2 linked regions of the Elephas maximus indicus genome follow. The protein of the gene in region 1 interacts with the protein of each later gene in a biochemical or structural test. Links are inferred from orthologs where the notes say so. Each region holds a gene or a part of one and is shown in the gene's direction. Other genes may lie near its edges.

The links.
Region 2: the proteins of CRY2 (region 1) and FBXL3 form a complex in vitro, tested with the Homo sapiens proteins (2 studies listed by BioGRID, with this or other methods). The link is inferred for Elephas maximus indicus from reciprocal best matches to the Homo sapiens genes CRY2 and FBXL3.

Annotation. Positions count from the first base shown.
Region 1 is NC_064825.1:101,319,629-101,326,778, forward strand, and holds the start of CRY2 (cryptochrome-2), read left to right. Parts: upstream 1-3,936; 5' UTR 3,937-3,969; coding exon 3,970-4,184; intron 4,185-7,150. UniProt on the Homo sapiens protein: Transcriptional repressor which forms a core component of the circadian clock.
Region 2 is NC_064832.1:70,175,716-70,183,899, reverse strand, and holds the start of FBXL3 (F-box/LRR-repeat protein 3), read left to right. Parts: upstream 1-5,103; 5' UTR 5,104-5,511; exon of another isoform or gene 5,512-5,554; intron 5,555-8,184. UniProt on the Homo sapiens protein: Substrate-recognition component of the SCF(FBXL3) E3 ubiquitin ligase complex involved in circadian rhythm function. Plays a key role in the maintenance of both the speed and the robustness of the circadian clock oscillation.

The DNA of each region.
Region 1 (7,150 bases):
AGTAACTTGCCCAAGTAAGTAATCAGGTAGTTGGAATGGAATCCAGGCCTTCCGGCCTTACAGTCCACGCTCTCAATAAGCTTTACGACTTCTCAAGCTGCATAGTTCAAACAATGAGCATTTTATGTCACTACATCAAAGTAAGCCTTGCGTAAAGTCTTGGAAATAGAAATGCCTCAGCTGCAAGCTCTTAAGGCCAGTAACTAAGGAGAGGAGTCTAGGGCCGGGGTGCTCTTGGCTCAGCCCGAAACTGGGCCACGGCTTCGTTCCCAGTCACACCACTAGAGGGCGCGGGTAACTTAAACTCGTCAGGGATGCCTCTCCTTTCGGTGCTTGGTTACCTTTCAACCAGTCATCAAATATTTACTCAATTCGCGGTTCAAAGGGAATATGAAAGTTGTCTCATCTAGTCTCCATGCAGGACTTTAACAGAGAGGGACAAACGTGAACAGATCTGTCTTCTTAAGTATCATCAGGGAAGAAAGACACCATCCACTTCCAGGCTAGTTGGTTCATCTTTAAAACCACCTCTTACTCTCCTACTTTAAGCCTTTCTTCTTTTGGTCTACCCTTCCTGGCAACAAGGAGCAACTGTTTGGCATCCTCATAGCAACCACTGGTCAGAAATGCTTGTAAATAATGAGATGTCCTGGCGTAGCTACGAAAAATAATGTCTATGGCAATTAGTTTTAAATTGCTGAATGAGCTGTCACAGCTAGTGATAGAAACCGCTCGTTGGTGCCATGCCCCCTCAAGTGGCACCCAGGGCACGTGCCATACCTGCCATGCTTAGATACGCCTCGCCCCCAATGACATTTCACTTCCTAAGCAATTTACACATCTCTTTGGTCTCACTCCAATTTCTCCCTGTCCGTTTCAAAGTGTAAAGACCAAGAGTGGACTTTGCATTCCAATATTCTATCCAGTGCCGGATTTACTTCCTGGTTTTTGAACGTTACCCTGGTAATAAACCCAAGCAATATGCAATTTAAAAAAAAGTCTTCCTATCAACTTGATGGAGGATTATATGGTCATTGAAATAACAAAGACATAGCAACATAGAATATGCTTAATACTTTAAGTTTAAAAAGAATCTACAAAACTGTGCCTCTGCTTTGATTAAAGCCATAAAACTTAGGTGCTTATTGACAGAGCCTAGGAGGAAACTTGGGGAAAAAATTGATTTGTTAGGTTTTTGGACTTGATGGCAATTATTTCTCTTCAGTTTCCATTATTGGTATAATGTTGACGACCCTTTAAAAAAGTAAGTAAAATCTTTTATTCGCTCAGCAACTTATGAAGCATTCATTACACGTAAGACTCTGGGCTAGATGTTACAAGGAAGACAAAATCAGACACAGATCCTGCCATTCAAAATAATAGTAGCTGATGCTTGCTTAGTAAGTGCTTTCTATGTCCTAGAAATTATTATCATCCCTATTGTATGCATTAAGAAAGTGAGGAACAGAGAGGTTAACTAGCTTACCCAAGGTCACACACAGTTAAAGCAGAATGAGATTTTGAACTTAATCACTCCAATGCCTGAGACCTTGTGCCTGAGACCACTACATCATACTGCCTCTCAAAATAGCCTAATAAGATAGAAAGGGATAAACGGCATTCAGTCATTCAACAAATATTCACTGAGCACCTACTACATGTCAAGCACCAGGATAGGTGCTGGGAATACACCGATGAGCAAGACAAGCACAGTCCCTGCCCTCACGGAGTTTACAGTCTACAGATAAAGCATTATGGGAGTTCAGAGGAGGAAGAGAGTACTCATATTTGAGGCTACTTGGGGAAGAACCATTTCCTGCTTTCTCTATTCTATTCCTAGAAGAGCATCAACCTTGTGGAGAGAAGAGGGGCACAAAAGAGGTGGGAACACAAAGCCTGAAAAGAAAAGTAACAAGAGGTGGCATCTACTCATTCAGCAAGCATTTGGAGAGAAGACTCAAAAATAAGGGCAGAGTCAGGTGAGGGGGACTAGAATAGACCTTTAAGGTCCCTGACAACCTGAGACTCTTGTCCTTGTTCAACTTTTACTCAAATAATCCTTGAGAATCAAATACCAAGCACTGGGATAGACCCTGGAAATACATTTGTAAAGCCACAACCCCTATCTTTCAGGAGCTTATAGTCTAATGGGGCAGACAATTAAGCAAGCAATTCCAGTACCATGTACTAGGGGCAGTGATAAGAAGAAGGGCAGAGTGAAATGGGGCAGTATGCAAGACACCCAAGATGACATCTATACTGAGCAGTGACACAGGATAAACTGGAGTTAGAAAGGGTGTGGGGTGGGGAGTGGAATTCAGGTGGAGGGAACAGCTTGTGCAGAGCCCTGGAAATGAGAGAGAGCCCACGATTTCAAGAACACTGGTTTCTAGAGCAGTGCCAGTTAATGCCACTAAATTGCTGACTTGAGTTCCTTCATCGCCCATTCCCAAGTTCAGGAAGAGTTGTGAGCATAGGTGCAACCTAGCGTGAGACTGAAGAAGGCTGTTCTCCACCAGGTAACCCCAGAGCTACAGCCTGACTAGGCCATCTTAGTCCACCTTCAGTACTTCGTTGTGAGTGTTTATATGCTTCTCTTGCCAGTCAGCTAGCTCATCAGCGAGCCTATGCTGGACTTCAGAAGAGTAAGAGGACCCATCTGGCTTCCCAGAGGAGTGGGGACAGTGTCCTCCACATCTCTAAATCCCACACAGAATCCAGAACAATGCTTTGCATTTAATAGTACCATCAGGTCTACTAAATATAGAACTAAAAGAAAATCAATTCATCTGACGGCATAATTACTATCTCAACCCACATCCTGCACATTCCCACTCCCTACTCCCAAACACTCCACTGCTGCATTATCAGGGCACGCCTCCTCCATTCCAGACTTTTTCTCTTGCAAATGCCAAGGAGCTCAGCACAGAGAGAAGCACAGCTTTGTGGATAAAAGCAGAGGCTTCAAAATGAGAACAATCTGGGGAAAAAAACAAAAAACCAAACCCATCGCCCTTGAATTGACTCCGACTCATAGCCCTCTATAGGTTGGAGTAGAACTGCCCCATAAGGTTTCCAAGGAGCGCAAGGTGCATTCCAACCGCCAGTCTTTCATCTAGCAGAGGTAGCTCTTAACACTACACCACCAGGGTTCCCAAATAATCTGGATAGAGTTCTTTTATTTGTTTTATGATCTTGAGCTAGTCAGTCAACCTGGAGCAGCCTCTGTTTTCCTCATCTGTAAAATTAGGGTAACAGCTCCTTGGTTGAATGAACAGAACTGGCTGAATGAAAGTAGTAAAGTAGAAAGTCTATGTAAGAAGATCACGTTGCTTGTATAGGAGATGCACTCCATAAATGGTAGCTTTAGTAGAATGACGTAGATGACTTAATAGAGTGGGGAACAGAGCAGCTGCGTATCTATGGGAAAATAATACCTATGACAATTAGATTTAACTTGCTGAATGATCTCTCAAAGCTGAAGATGGAAACTACATGGAAACTGCTCATTGGCGCCCCACCCTCCCCCAAGTGGCACCCAGGGTAGGTGCTATATCCTAAATATGCCCAGTGCTGTTGGCTGGAGTCATAACAACGCCCGCCAGCCCAGGCATCTTCTTCTAGCGACAGGCTCCGACTAGAACGCCTGGAAGAGATCCTCTGTCCCTTGAGGCCCGGCCTACGCCCTGGCCTCCACTGGGAACGCCCGCCTGCGTCAGCAGCCATGACCGCGGGCTCCTCCCAGGCGGCAGACACATGGTGGGAACGTGAGGGGGCGGGCCCTCATCTCGCGCCGCTGAGCCAATCGCCCGGAGGGAGGCGCTCGGCCAATGACAGAGGCGCTCCAGAGCCCCAGGGGCCGAGCTACGGCAAGCCGCGGAGGCGTCATAGGTCACTGGGCGGGCTGGAGGTGGGGCCCGCGGCGCTGTCGGGGGCGGAGCGCCGCCGGCCAGAGCAATCTAGGCGGTGATGGCGGCGGCAGTGGTGACGGCGGGAGCGGCGGCCCTGGTGCCCATTCCCAGCATGGATGGCGCCTCCTCTGTGCACTGGTTCCGCAAGGGGCTGCGACTCCACGACAACCCGGCGCTGCTGGCGGCTGTGCGCGGGGCGCGCTGCGTACGCTGCGTTTACATCCTCGACCCTTGGTTCGCGGCCTCCTCTTCGGTCGGGATCAACCGATGGAGGTGAGAGGGCCCGGGCGGGGTCGCAGGCCCGGGAGGCGCCGGCTGACCCCGGGCCCTTCCAAAGGGGGAGCCTCTGTCCCCCACCCACGGCCCGAAGACCCGGGCCTGAGGGAGGCGCGGCAGGGAGACGGAGCGGGGTCTCCAGAGGCGAGAAGTTGGCACCAGGGGGTTAGTTAGTCATCACGCTAATCCCTTAGGTGGGCGAGGACTCAACCTCTAAGAAGGGGCTTTCGCACCGTGTTTTATCCCCTTTGAGCCTCACACCATCCCTGTGGTGTGATCCCCATTGTACAGATGACGCCCTTGAGCCCTAGAGGCACAAAGTTGACCTGCCCAAGATCATGCAGCCAGCCAGTGGCAGAACCGGGACTCCAGGTGTCTCTTAGGGGTGTGCCCAGGGAGGGGAGGAAAAGGAGATATTGTGGCGTGAGGGCGGGGACGGGTTTCTGATCCTGGGGCAGAGCAGATACTCCCATTACTTCAAGTAAAGAGCCCATTGCTGAGCTCCTGAAGGTCACCCTTGGTTTGTTTTACTCCATCCTGACTTCCCCTCCACCCAGAAGGCCCTGCTTCTGGAGGTGTCTAGAGACCCTGGCTTAGCATTAGGTAAGGCAGGTGCCATCTCCCCCAAGGGCATCTTCAGTTAGAGGCACTGTGTGTCCCCAATTGTAGAGTAGTAGTACTTAACCCATTTTGGAGAATTCTGTTAGCAGCTATGAGCTTGCTAGGAAAAAAAAGCAACCAAACAAGGTATCGCCCGCTTCCTTCTCTCCTGTAAGATGATTTTAGAGGGCAGTTGAGCCCTTATAGATAGGCTTTTATGAACTGACACACCAAGGCAAGGGAGCAGGAAAGCTATGGTATCGGAGACCTCTCTTTGATGACTCCTGGGAGATGGAGTTGACAGGGACATGGGAAGGAATTAGCAGATAGGTAGCTGATGTTTTTTCTCCATAACCAGTGTTCAGGACCAAGGAGTTTGGAAACATTATGTACCCAGCACTTTTCAAAATGCCGTACTGCACCTGCTTGGTTTGTTTGCATTGTTCTGGGGGATGTTTGCTTATGCCTTGTTGCATCAATGGGCAGGGGTATTCCCAGGATACAGCGGCTCTCAGCACACCATGTTTTTGTTTTTTTTTTTTATCTCCAAGGTGTATGCCCTGCTAGGAGAGTGAGCGCTTTGTAAAGGGGGTCTATTAAATGCCCGCTCCTGCCCCATTTTTCTAGAGGGAACTACTAAAGATAGTCCTGTGGAGAGCCTGCCCACACAGTTTCCAGTCTGCCCTATTGTGCTGCCTTTGCTCCAGTTTCTATAGATAGGAGGCTGGGTTTGACAAACATCCTCAAATGACCATCTCTAGTGTAGACAATAAACCAAGCCTCAGACTTTGCCCCCTCCTGTGGCAGCGTGCCAGTCAGAGCAGAGTCAGTGGAATCTGTTTACTGTTACATTGTCACAAAGAAGTTTCTTTTATTCAGTTTCAAGGGACCTTGTAGAGGACTGCCTCCTTTGCTGTGGTAATGGGGGGTGGTTAAAAATCAACAACGAATGTTATGCTGCTGATTAAACTCAGGATAAATTTTTCTGGGTCACTCTCTTGTGATTGTGCTGTCGCGAGTGAAGGAGAAAAGGAATGTGGCAGGCCAGATGCCTGAGTCAAATCCTAAAGTCCGGACCTTGCAAGAATGTAGATGTTAATTGAGCAATTATTTAGCGGGTGCCTGATGTCTGCCAGGAGACCCTGGTGGGTAGTGGTTAAGAGGTGCAGCTGGTAACCATAAGGTTGGCAGTTGGAATCCACCAGGCAGTCTTTGGAAACCCTACTGGGCAGTTCTACTCTGTCCTATAGGGTCGCTATTAGTTGGAATCAACTCGACAGCAACAGGTTTGGTTTACTATCTGCCAGGCCCTGCTCTAGGTGCTGGTAGGGGTACAGCTGTGGACAAGCTGATGTGGTGTCTGTGCCTCCAGGGCTCCTGGAGCTACATTTTAGGGGAGGAAGACAAGTAAACAACCATAATTCAGTAGAACTAAGTGCCATGAAGAAAATGAACCGGGCTGAGCAAGAGCAGTGGTTCTCAGTCGCAGCTGCACATTGGAATCACCTAAGGACCTTTAAAAGATGCCTGGGTTCCCCATCCCCTACCACTGAGATCCTGATTTCATTGTTTTGGGGTACGATCTGGGATCAGGGCTTTAAAGCTCTCCCGTGCAGCAAAGCTTGAGAAAGAACTAGAGAACCACAGACCCAAGCCAGACAACCTGGGAAATGTGTTGCAGTGTGCTGGCAGGAAGTCTGATTCGTTTTGGCATTCAGAAGAAAGAGGTGAAATAACACAAAACAGATGGAATATGGTAACTGCTTCTGGGGCCTGGGAAGAGACACTCATACCACCCCCACCAGACTATTTGCTCCTCATGGGAGTGAGGGAGCGGCAGAGCTGCGGAGGGGTTTGTGCACCAGTTGGGGGTGAGGGGAAGTGGTGGAGCCCTACCTCCGCATAACTACAATGTGTGTAATCTTCCGGTGGCTGTTTTGGGATCTGGGAGTGGTCTGGGAGAATTGTGCTGTAGCATAATGTCTTAGCACTGCAACTGCTTGAATTGCTGCATCTAAGGAACCTCCCTAGGAATGGGGGGCCCAGAACCATTTGCAAGAGAAGGGGGAATCAGAATCTGTGATTTCTTTTGCTTCCTGCACTAACTCCTACCTACCATTTTTCTGTGGATGAAATCAAATTAAGATAGCCATGAACGTTGTTCTCTAAGAGTAAAAGAACAGAGAAAGGCAATGAAGAAATATGTGTATTTACTTTGGCCCCTGACGCCTGGTGACCTTATGCACAATGAGATCAGACTATTGTGATCTATAGGATTTTCACCAGCTGATTTTTGGATGTAGATCACCAGGCCTTTCTTCCTAGTCTGTTTTAGTCTGCAAGGTCCACTGAAGCCTGTTTTG
Region 2 (8,184 bases), on another chromosome or scaffold:
TTTTTTTTTTTTTTTTTGGCACCAAAAGAATGGAGCAAGTACGCAAGACGTGGGAAACAGGCTCTAAGCATGAATTAAATGCTGGAAGTCAAGCAGACAGAAGAGTTAACTATAACTATACTTTCAAAATTTCAAGTCAATAAAAGCTGGAAACACTATCACAGCAGGATTTCCCGTCAAGGAGGTGTTTGGAATTTGTGTTTTGAGTTTCCCACTATTAAATACATAGCAATAATAGGTTTGCTATAAAAATTTAATATTAAAAAGGGAGATTCAGAAAAAGAAAATACTTTTGTGTATCTAAAAGGCACATCCATACAAAGCAGTGACTGGTTTTGAAGTAGACTTGCCATGGTATAGGTATGGAAGCAGGTACCGCCATGGTAGGGGAGCGGGGGATAGAGCACCTCTATGAGGCAGGAGAACAGAGCCTGTGTCACTGCCTAAAACCAGAAGCTTGTTGTGAATCTCTAACTATACAGCAGGTTTAAAAAGTTGGTGCCTACAGTTCTGGCTGATAGGAAATGTGTGCCCGCGAGGGAAGAGGACACACACACAGCTTCCCAGGCAGTACAGGACACAAGTTGCCCTTTGCTTCAGTTGCTGGGCCTGCAAGATAATAGACTGGAGACTCAGAAACACGAATATAAGACCTGCCCTAGACTGAGAGTCTGAGTGGCCCTAGACTGAGGGTCTGAGTGGCCAAGTGGAGGCATTCACACAAGTGTAGAGAGAGATGGAGAAAGGAGAGGGCACAGAAAGAATGATAAACAAAGAAATCTTTTGTTCTCAACATAAGCTTGCAGGTTAACATTTCAAAACTGATGGAGAAAAGCAAGGATGAGAATAGCAGCCAGCAAAATTAATAATTAGGGACAAATTTACTTCAAACAAATTGGAAATAATACTACAATATATAAATGACCTCAAAATTGAAATGTTTAGGGTCCTCAAAGATAAAGAAGGAATAAAAATCATTTTTAAATGATTTAAAAACTAGATGGATATAAGAACAAATTAGAAATTTGGGGAATGAAATGTTCAATAGCTGGTAGAAACTCTAGAAGGAGACAAAGAGAAAATCAATGAGTTGAAAGAAAGGCAATACACAAAGAAAGAAAAAGATAAAAACATGAAAGGACAACTAAATGTCGAAGATAAATTGAAAGGACAAAACATAAAGAGCTTAAGATCAAAATAGAAGAATTGGTGGCAAAGGACTATTTGAAGAGATAGTGGCTTGGGTTTTAATGTCAGGGAGGGACAGGAGATGAGTTTGTAGGAGAAGTGATAACTGAGATCCCTGCATAAAGCAAGAATTTTGAATATCTTCATCCTCCTTGAGGAATGGCTGGCCTAGGGCACATGGAGAAGAACAGCAAACTCCGAGTTAAAAAAAAAAAAAAACCTTTTTGAGAATTGAAAACCATGGGTCTAGTCAGAAAACAAAACAAAACAAAAAACAATTACGGTACATCCTACAAATACTGGACCAGTACTCCTTAACAGTGTGAAAGTCATCAAAAACAAGGAATTACAAGGCTGTGCATAAGGAACTAGGGCAGCATCACCTGAGCCATCCTGACCAGCAGTGTACCAAGGTGAAGGTTATGGTGGGGGTTGTCTGCCCTGGAGAATTTAAAAACAATTTGAAAAAAATGACTAAAAATCAGCCCGCTTTTTACTATCACCATGCACTGGCAATTCTAAATAAGATCAGTAATAAAATTTTCTTCCCTGCTGCACCAAACTCCTCCACAGTTAACCAGCCCCCCACAACTCCTATGCCACTGACCTTGACTAATACGACTGATAAATGTAAGTAAGGATTGTCTGCTTCAAAAATAAGCACAAGTTTCTTCTTTTAAAAAGGTGAAATAGAGAAGAAACCATTCTTTGATGGTTACGGGGGTGGGGAGGGAGAGAGATATTCGCTAATCAGACGGTAGACAAGAATTATTTTAGGTGAAGGGAAGGACAACACACAATACAGGGTAAGTCAGCACAACTGGACTAAACCCAAAGCTAAGAAGTTTCCTGAATACAACCAAACAATTCGAGGGACAGTACAGGCATAGGGGGTCTGGGGACCATGGTTTCAGGGGACATCTAGGTCAACTGGCATAACAAAGTATATTAAGAAAATGTCCTGCATCCCACCTTGGTGAGTAGCATCTGGGGTCTTAAAAGCTAGCAAGCGGCCATCTAAGATGCATCAATTGGTTTTAAACCACCTAGAGCAAAGGAAAATGAACAACAGCAAAGACAGAAGGAAAATATGAGCCCAAGAGACAGAAAGGGCCACATAAGCCAGAGACTCCATCAGCCTGAGACTGGAAGAACTAGAGGGTGCCCGGCTTCCACCGATGACTGCCCTGACAGGGAACACGACAGAAAATCCCTGATGGAGCAGAAGAAAAGTGGGATGTAGACCTCGAGTTCCAGTAAAAAGACCAGACTTAATGGTCTAAGACTGGAGGGAGCCCAGAGATCATGGCCCCCAGACTCTCTGTTAGCCAAAAACTAGAACATTCCCAAAGCCAGCTCTTTAGACAAAGATTAGGCTGGACTATAAGACATAAAATGATACCGGTGAGGGGTGTGCTTCTTAGCTCAAGTAGACACATGAGACTATGTGGGCAGTTTCTGTCTGGAGGCGAGGAGAGGCGGCAGAGGGGACAGGAGCTGGCTGAATGGGCACAGGAAATACAGAGTAGAGAGGAGTTGTCACATTGCAGGGAAAGCAACTAGGGCCATATAACAATGTGTGTGTATGAGAAACTGACTTGGATGGTAAACTTCTACTTAAAGCACAATAAAAAAAGAAAAAAAGGTGAAATAAAAGTTTTAAATAACAATTACAAGGATGAAGAAGGAGCATTCAGTGAGTTAGGTGTGTCAAGGTCCTTGTCTTGCACGAGAGGAGGGTAACCTGTAATGGGAAAACCCACGCTGGAGGGTAAAAGCTCTAATGTGATATTCTAGTTATGTTTGCTGATTTGGTTTAATGTATTTTGCTGATCATTTATACTCTTAACCTAGCTTTAAAGAAATGGGCCTGTTTTTCTTGCCTTTCTTAGAACTTTCTATTGTCCCTCATCATCTAGTCACAGAGGGACCTAAAAAAATGTTGCAGTTTAGGTACCTGGTCGCTATGAGTCGGAATCAACTTGACAGCAATGGGTTTTGATTTGGTTTTACATTATTATGTTGCTATAGATTTTGTAGTTTGCCTTGATGACCTGATAGTCAGGCCCTTAAAAAAAAGACTGTCATTTTCCCACACTGAATCTTAATGCTGTTTTAAATATCAATTCTTAGCTCAATTTCTTGAGGGAAGGGGAGGAGTGAAGGCTTCCCTGGACATCACTGCTATCAGTCTCCTACACACAGCCGAGATAGTTCAGAAGACGTCTTGGGATGGAAAATTACTTTCTTTTGCTTTGTTTTATGGGGTAGAGGAGGCAGAGTGCATGATTCAGTTATGTTTTTGCACATAGGACATTTCTAGCTTTAGGAAAACTCACTACCCCAAAATCTCAATTTTTAAAACAAGTTAACTAGGTAGCAGTTACACACAAAGATGCCTTGATTTACAAAAAGCATCACCAGAGGTTTTCTTTCAAATAGCTCTCTGCTCCTTTACTTTACTTTTCCCGTTACGTTTCAGAAAGCTACTTATAAATTCCAGGAGTTTTTTACTTCATAGAAGCCTTGGAGGCGCAGTGGTTAAGCACTTGGCTGCTAACTGAAGGTTGGCAGTTTAGCATTTCAAACCCACCAGCTGCTCCGTGGGAGAAAGATGTGGTAATCTGCTTCTGTAAAGGTTTACAGCCCCGGAAACCCTATACAGCAGTTCCACTCTGTCCTATAGGGTCACTGTGCGTCAGAATCCACTCAACCGCAATGAGTTTAGTTTTGGTTTGGGTATCTACTTCACAAGGAGCCCTGGTGGTGGTGCTGTGGTTAAGCGCTCAGCTGCTACCGAAAAGTGGACCACGGTTCAAACCTACTAGCGGCTCTGTGGGAGAAAGAAGTGAGTCTGCACCCATAAAGGTTACAGCCTTGGAAACCCTATGGGGCAGTTCTGCTCTGTCCTATAGGGTCACAATGAGTTGGACTTGACTCAGCAACAACAGCTTCTGGTTTACGAACCTGAAGGTTGGCAGTTCAAACCCACCCACTGGTGCCTCAAAAAAAAAGGCCTGGCAATCTGCTTGCAAAATCCTATGGAGTCCTACTCTGTAACATGCGTCAGAATCCACTCAGTGGCAACGACTTCAACTACTTCATAAAGCAGAGGTGGTTTTAAAAGAGTAATAACTCTGATTATAAAACTCATTTCAGGAAAATTGGGAAATACAAATATTTTAAAAATAAAAAAACATTCTGTAATTCCAGGGTTAACAGGTTACCACTCTGGTATGTTTCATTGCAATATTTTAAAAAATTACGTATATATTAGGTTTGTGTATTAAAACAACAAAAAAACCAAACCCATTGCCATGGAGTCGATGCTGACAGCGATCCTACAGAATAGAGTAGAACTGCCCCCATAGGGTTTCCTGGGAGCGGCTGGTGGATTCGAATTGCTTACCTTTTGGTTAGCAGCCAGGCTCTTAACCACTGCACCACCAGGACTCCTGTGTATTTTTAAAGCCTGTGGTTTTAACCCCTAAGGTTACAGATCGCAAGTCATGGCCCTCCCAAGTGCCAACACCTCACCCTGAGAAGTGTGTCAGCTGTCAACAGGTACTGTTTATCTTTCTGCCCGGTGGAACCGGCTGCCAAGTTACAAGAGACACTCTAGAGACACTCCTTCCTTTCTTTTCTCGGTTCCACTCCCTAAACTTTCTTTTCAGCCCAGACAGTCTCTTGGACAACCACCTAGCTCCAGCCCTCTCTGTCTGCTCCCAAACAAAAAATTCCCTAAAAGTAGCAGTCACTGCTGAGAGGGAGGCGGCGGACTCTCCTTTAGAAAAGAAGAGGCGGATGAACACAGCTGAGAGGCACAGACGTTCGACCGCTTCTGCGCGCGCTCCCACGTGGGCGCGGCCCCGCTCCTGTCCTCCCCGCCCTCCGCGAGCGCGCCAGTGGCGAACGCGCGCCCGCCCCACTCCGGCGGAGAGGCGCCGGGGAAAGCGCGCGGCCGCGAGTTACGGGCGCCATTTTGGACTCAGTGTCTGGACGGAAGCGCCGGGAAGCTACGCGGTGGCCGCAGCTCGCTGAGGGTGTCTCTTGCGGTGACAAGGGGTCCTGGGAGAAAAACGTAGGCGGCGTGAGGCTGAGAAGGAAGACTTCTCCCTGGGCAGCCAGAGCCGCGAAGGTGGAGCCGCGTTGGCGCTCGCTGCGGGACCAGCGCCTCGGATGCGGGCGGAGCGCGGGGGGCCGCGGCGACGGGAGCGCGAAGCCGGGGGCCTTGGGGGCCTCATGTGAGAGCCGCGGGACCAGCCGCCGCCGCCGTCCCCGGAGCCCGGGGTGGTGTGTGGGCGAAGCCGCCCACGGCAGCAGGTAACGGCGGATGGGCAGGACCGGAGCGCCGTAGCAAAGGCGGGTCAGTGGAGGGTCCACCGGCCATTTCTGGGCAGAGGAACGGGCGGAGGGGCGCGGGGTCCCTGACACGCGCGGACCGCCCCTCGGGAGGCCGGGCGGCGCCCAGACATTGGAGCCTGTTTGGGGGCGTTTCCCTCCGGTGCTGTCTTCAAAACATGTCAACAAGGCGTGGTGCGTGTGCGGCGGCCGCGTGCAGCCCGCCCCGCGACGCTGCCGCGCCCTGGGCTCGCCTCGGCTGTCGCCCGGCTTTACTACCCGCACCAGGGTTTGGTGACAGGCACCGTGGAGCTCGCTTTCTGCGGAGCTCTTCCCGGCGACGGCTACGCCGGGTTTGTAACTTGAGAAATTAGAAGTATTAAAACGTCAAAACAAACTGCCAGGGTAGAGCGCACGAGCTCTGTCCAATCCGTGGAGGTGGCGCAGGGCGGAGGGGAGGCGGCGACGCCCGCGCCGCGTAGCGGAGTGGAAAACTTGGTCAACTTGAGATGAGCAGCTTCGCGCCTACTTTTGGCGTGAGCAGCCTTTTTTAGGCTGCAGTTACAATGATCAGGCAGAGCAGCCCGCTAAATGATTGGTGTCAATCTCCCTGCCAGAAGTTGTCGTCCAATAATTAGAATCTTTTTTTGTAACTTGAATGTTAAGTAGTTTCTGCAATCGGTGAGATATTTCTAAAAATGCCACCAATTCCGAGGTATGTACGTATGACCATGAGACATTTTTCACCACGTTCTCCCTGCCATCCAATTCTGAGAGTTCAACTCTTACCACTCTTCTTTTCTTGTATTCCAGCTCAAGAAGGCATTTTGAAATTAGTCAAAGCAGAACATAAGTGGAAAGGAAATATGCCGAAACAGGCTCTTTTAGTTTTCCAGAGCTAAATACAAACGAACTTTTAAAATTATTACATGCCCAGGGTAGGTAAGGAGCTCTGGTGTTTCAGTAGTTATGCATGCCGCCGCTAACATCAGCCACACTCCTTGGAAACCCTATGGGGCAATTATGTTCTGTTGTATACCCAAAAACCCACTGCGGTCTAGTCGATTCCTACTCGTAGCAGTCTGTCGTTTAGGGTGGCTATAAGTCGGAATCAACTCGGTAACAGTGGGTTTGGTTTGGCTTAGTTTATGTACAAGGAGCCCTGGTGGTGCAATGGTTAAGTGTTTGGCTGCTCAGTTCCAGCCCTGTCCCAGTTGTGGGAGAAAGACCAGGCAATCTGCTTCCATAAAGATTACAGTCAAGAAAACCCTGTGGGGCAGTTCCCTGTGACATAGGGTTGTCGTATGTTTAAAATTGACTTGACAGCACCTAACAGTGGTTAGGAGCTTTGCTGCTAACCAAAAGGTTGGTTGTTTGAATCCACCAGCCACTCCATGGAAACCTTATGGGGTTGTCCTATGGGTTTGCTGTGAGTCAGAATCAACTCGATGGCACATAACAACAACAAACGTATGTAAAAGTGCCTGAAACGAGGGTGCACAGCCAGGGTTCTCTTCTGCTCTTCATCTGTTTGATGGTCAACTTGACTGCCCTTTCCAGAGTTACATGGAAATGTTGAGTTGGCTCAGTGACTTCCTGTGTTGGCTGCTATAGTTTTTCTTCATTAGGTTGCTTTTTGTCCCTTCATAGTCTCTCACCAAAAGCTGCAGTGGCCTAAATTGCGTTAATTATTCGGGACTTGGAAAAGTTGCAGTTGGAAATTAAATTGCCAAGGCTCTGCAGAGGCCTGGGTTTCATTGACGTTTATTTTCCAGCTCATCCGCTCCACGCCTCTTCAAATATAAAAGGCGTTTTAAGTAGGAGATAAATAAGTCCATTGACGTAAGTCATTTGCAGACTGGTGGATGTATAAATAGATATAATAAACTGCTTTTGAAAGCACTGTAAATTTTTGCATGAATAGATGAAGTCAACCTGGAAAAAACAACATTTAGAAGTTTTATTATGGGTCCACTCCCTTCTCTTATTTTTATGCATGTGAAGATAATAACCAAAAAACCTGTTGCTGTCGAGTGGGTGCCAACTCGTAGTGACCCTATAGGATGGAGTAGAACTGCCTCGTACGGTTTCCAAGGAGCGGCTGGTGGGTTTGAACTGTGGGCTTTTTTTTTTTGGTTAGCAACCAAGCTCTTAACCACTGTACCACCAGGGCTCCCTGAAGATAATACAGAGAACGTTTTTATCTGCATTTGGCCTTATATTTGTAGATGCTCTTTTTTTGATAGGTTTATATACTAATGTACTAATAAATTATGACACTACGGTTCTATTACATGAAAATTTAGATATTTGTTCAGCTATTCATAAACTAATAAATGCTTAAAATATACTTTTGTGATCATATAATCTTTTTATATCTCAGCTGAGAGAAATACAATTATCCCAGTATTGCATACTTTTTAATATTTTTCAGGTTTTTATCCCCTTCTCAACTTGGAAAAGTATTAAAATATACGTTGTTTAGAACAGGGCTGTAATAGACAAAGTAAGTACTTGTTGTTAGGACCAGCAAAGTGTTAACAGAGAAAATTGTGTGAATAAGGCGGTTGTTTTATTTCTGTTTATATGTCTAAGGTAAAATGGATACAGGCAGTTCTGGGTTACTAGCATCCTGACTTAGGGACAACTCTTTAA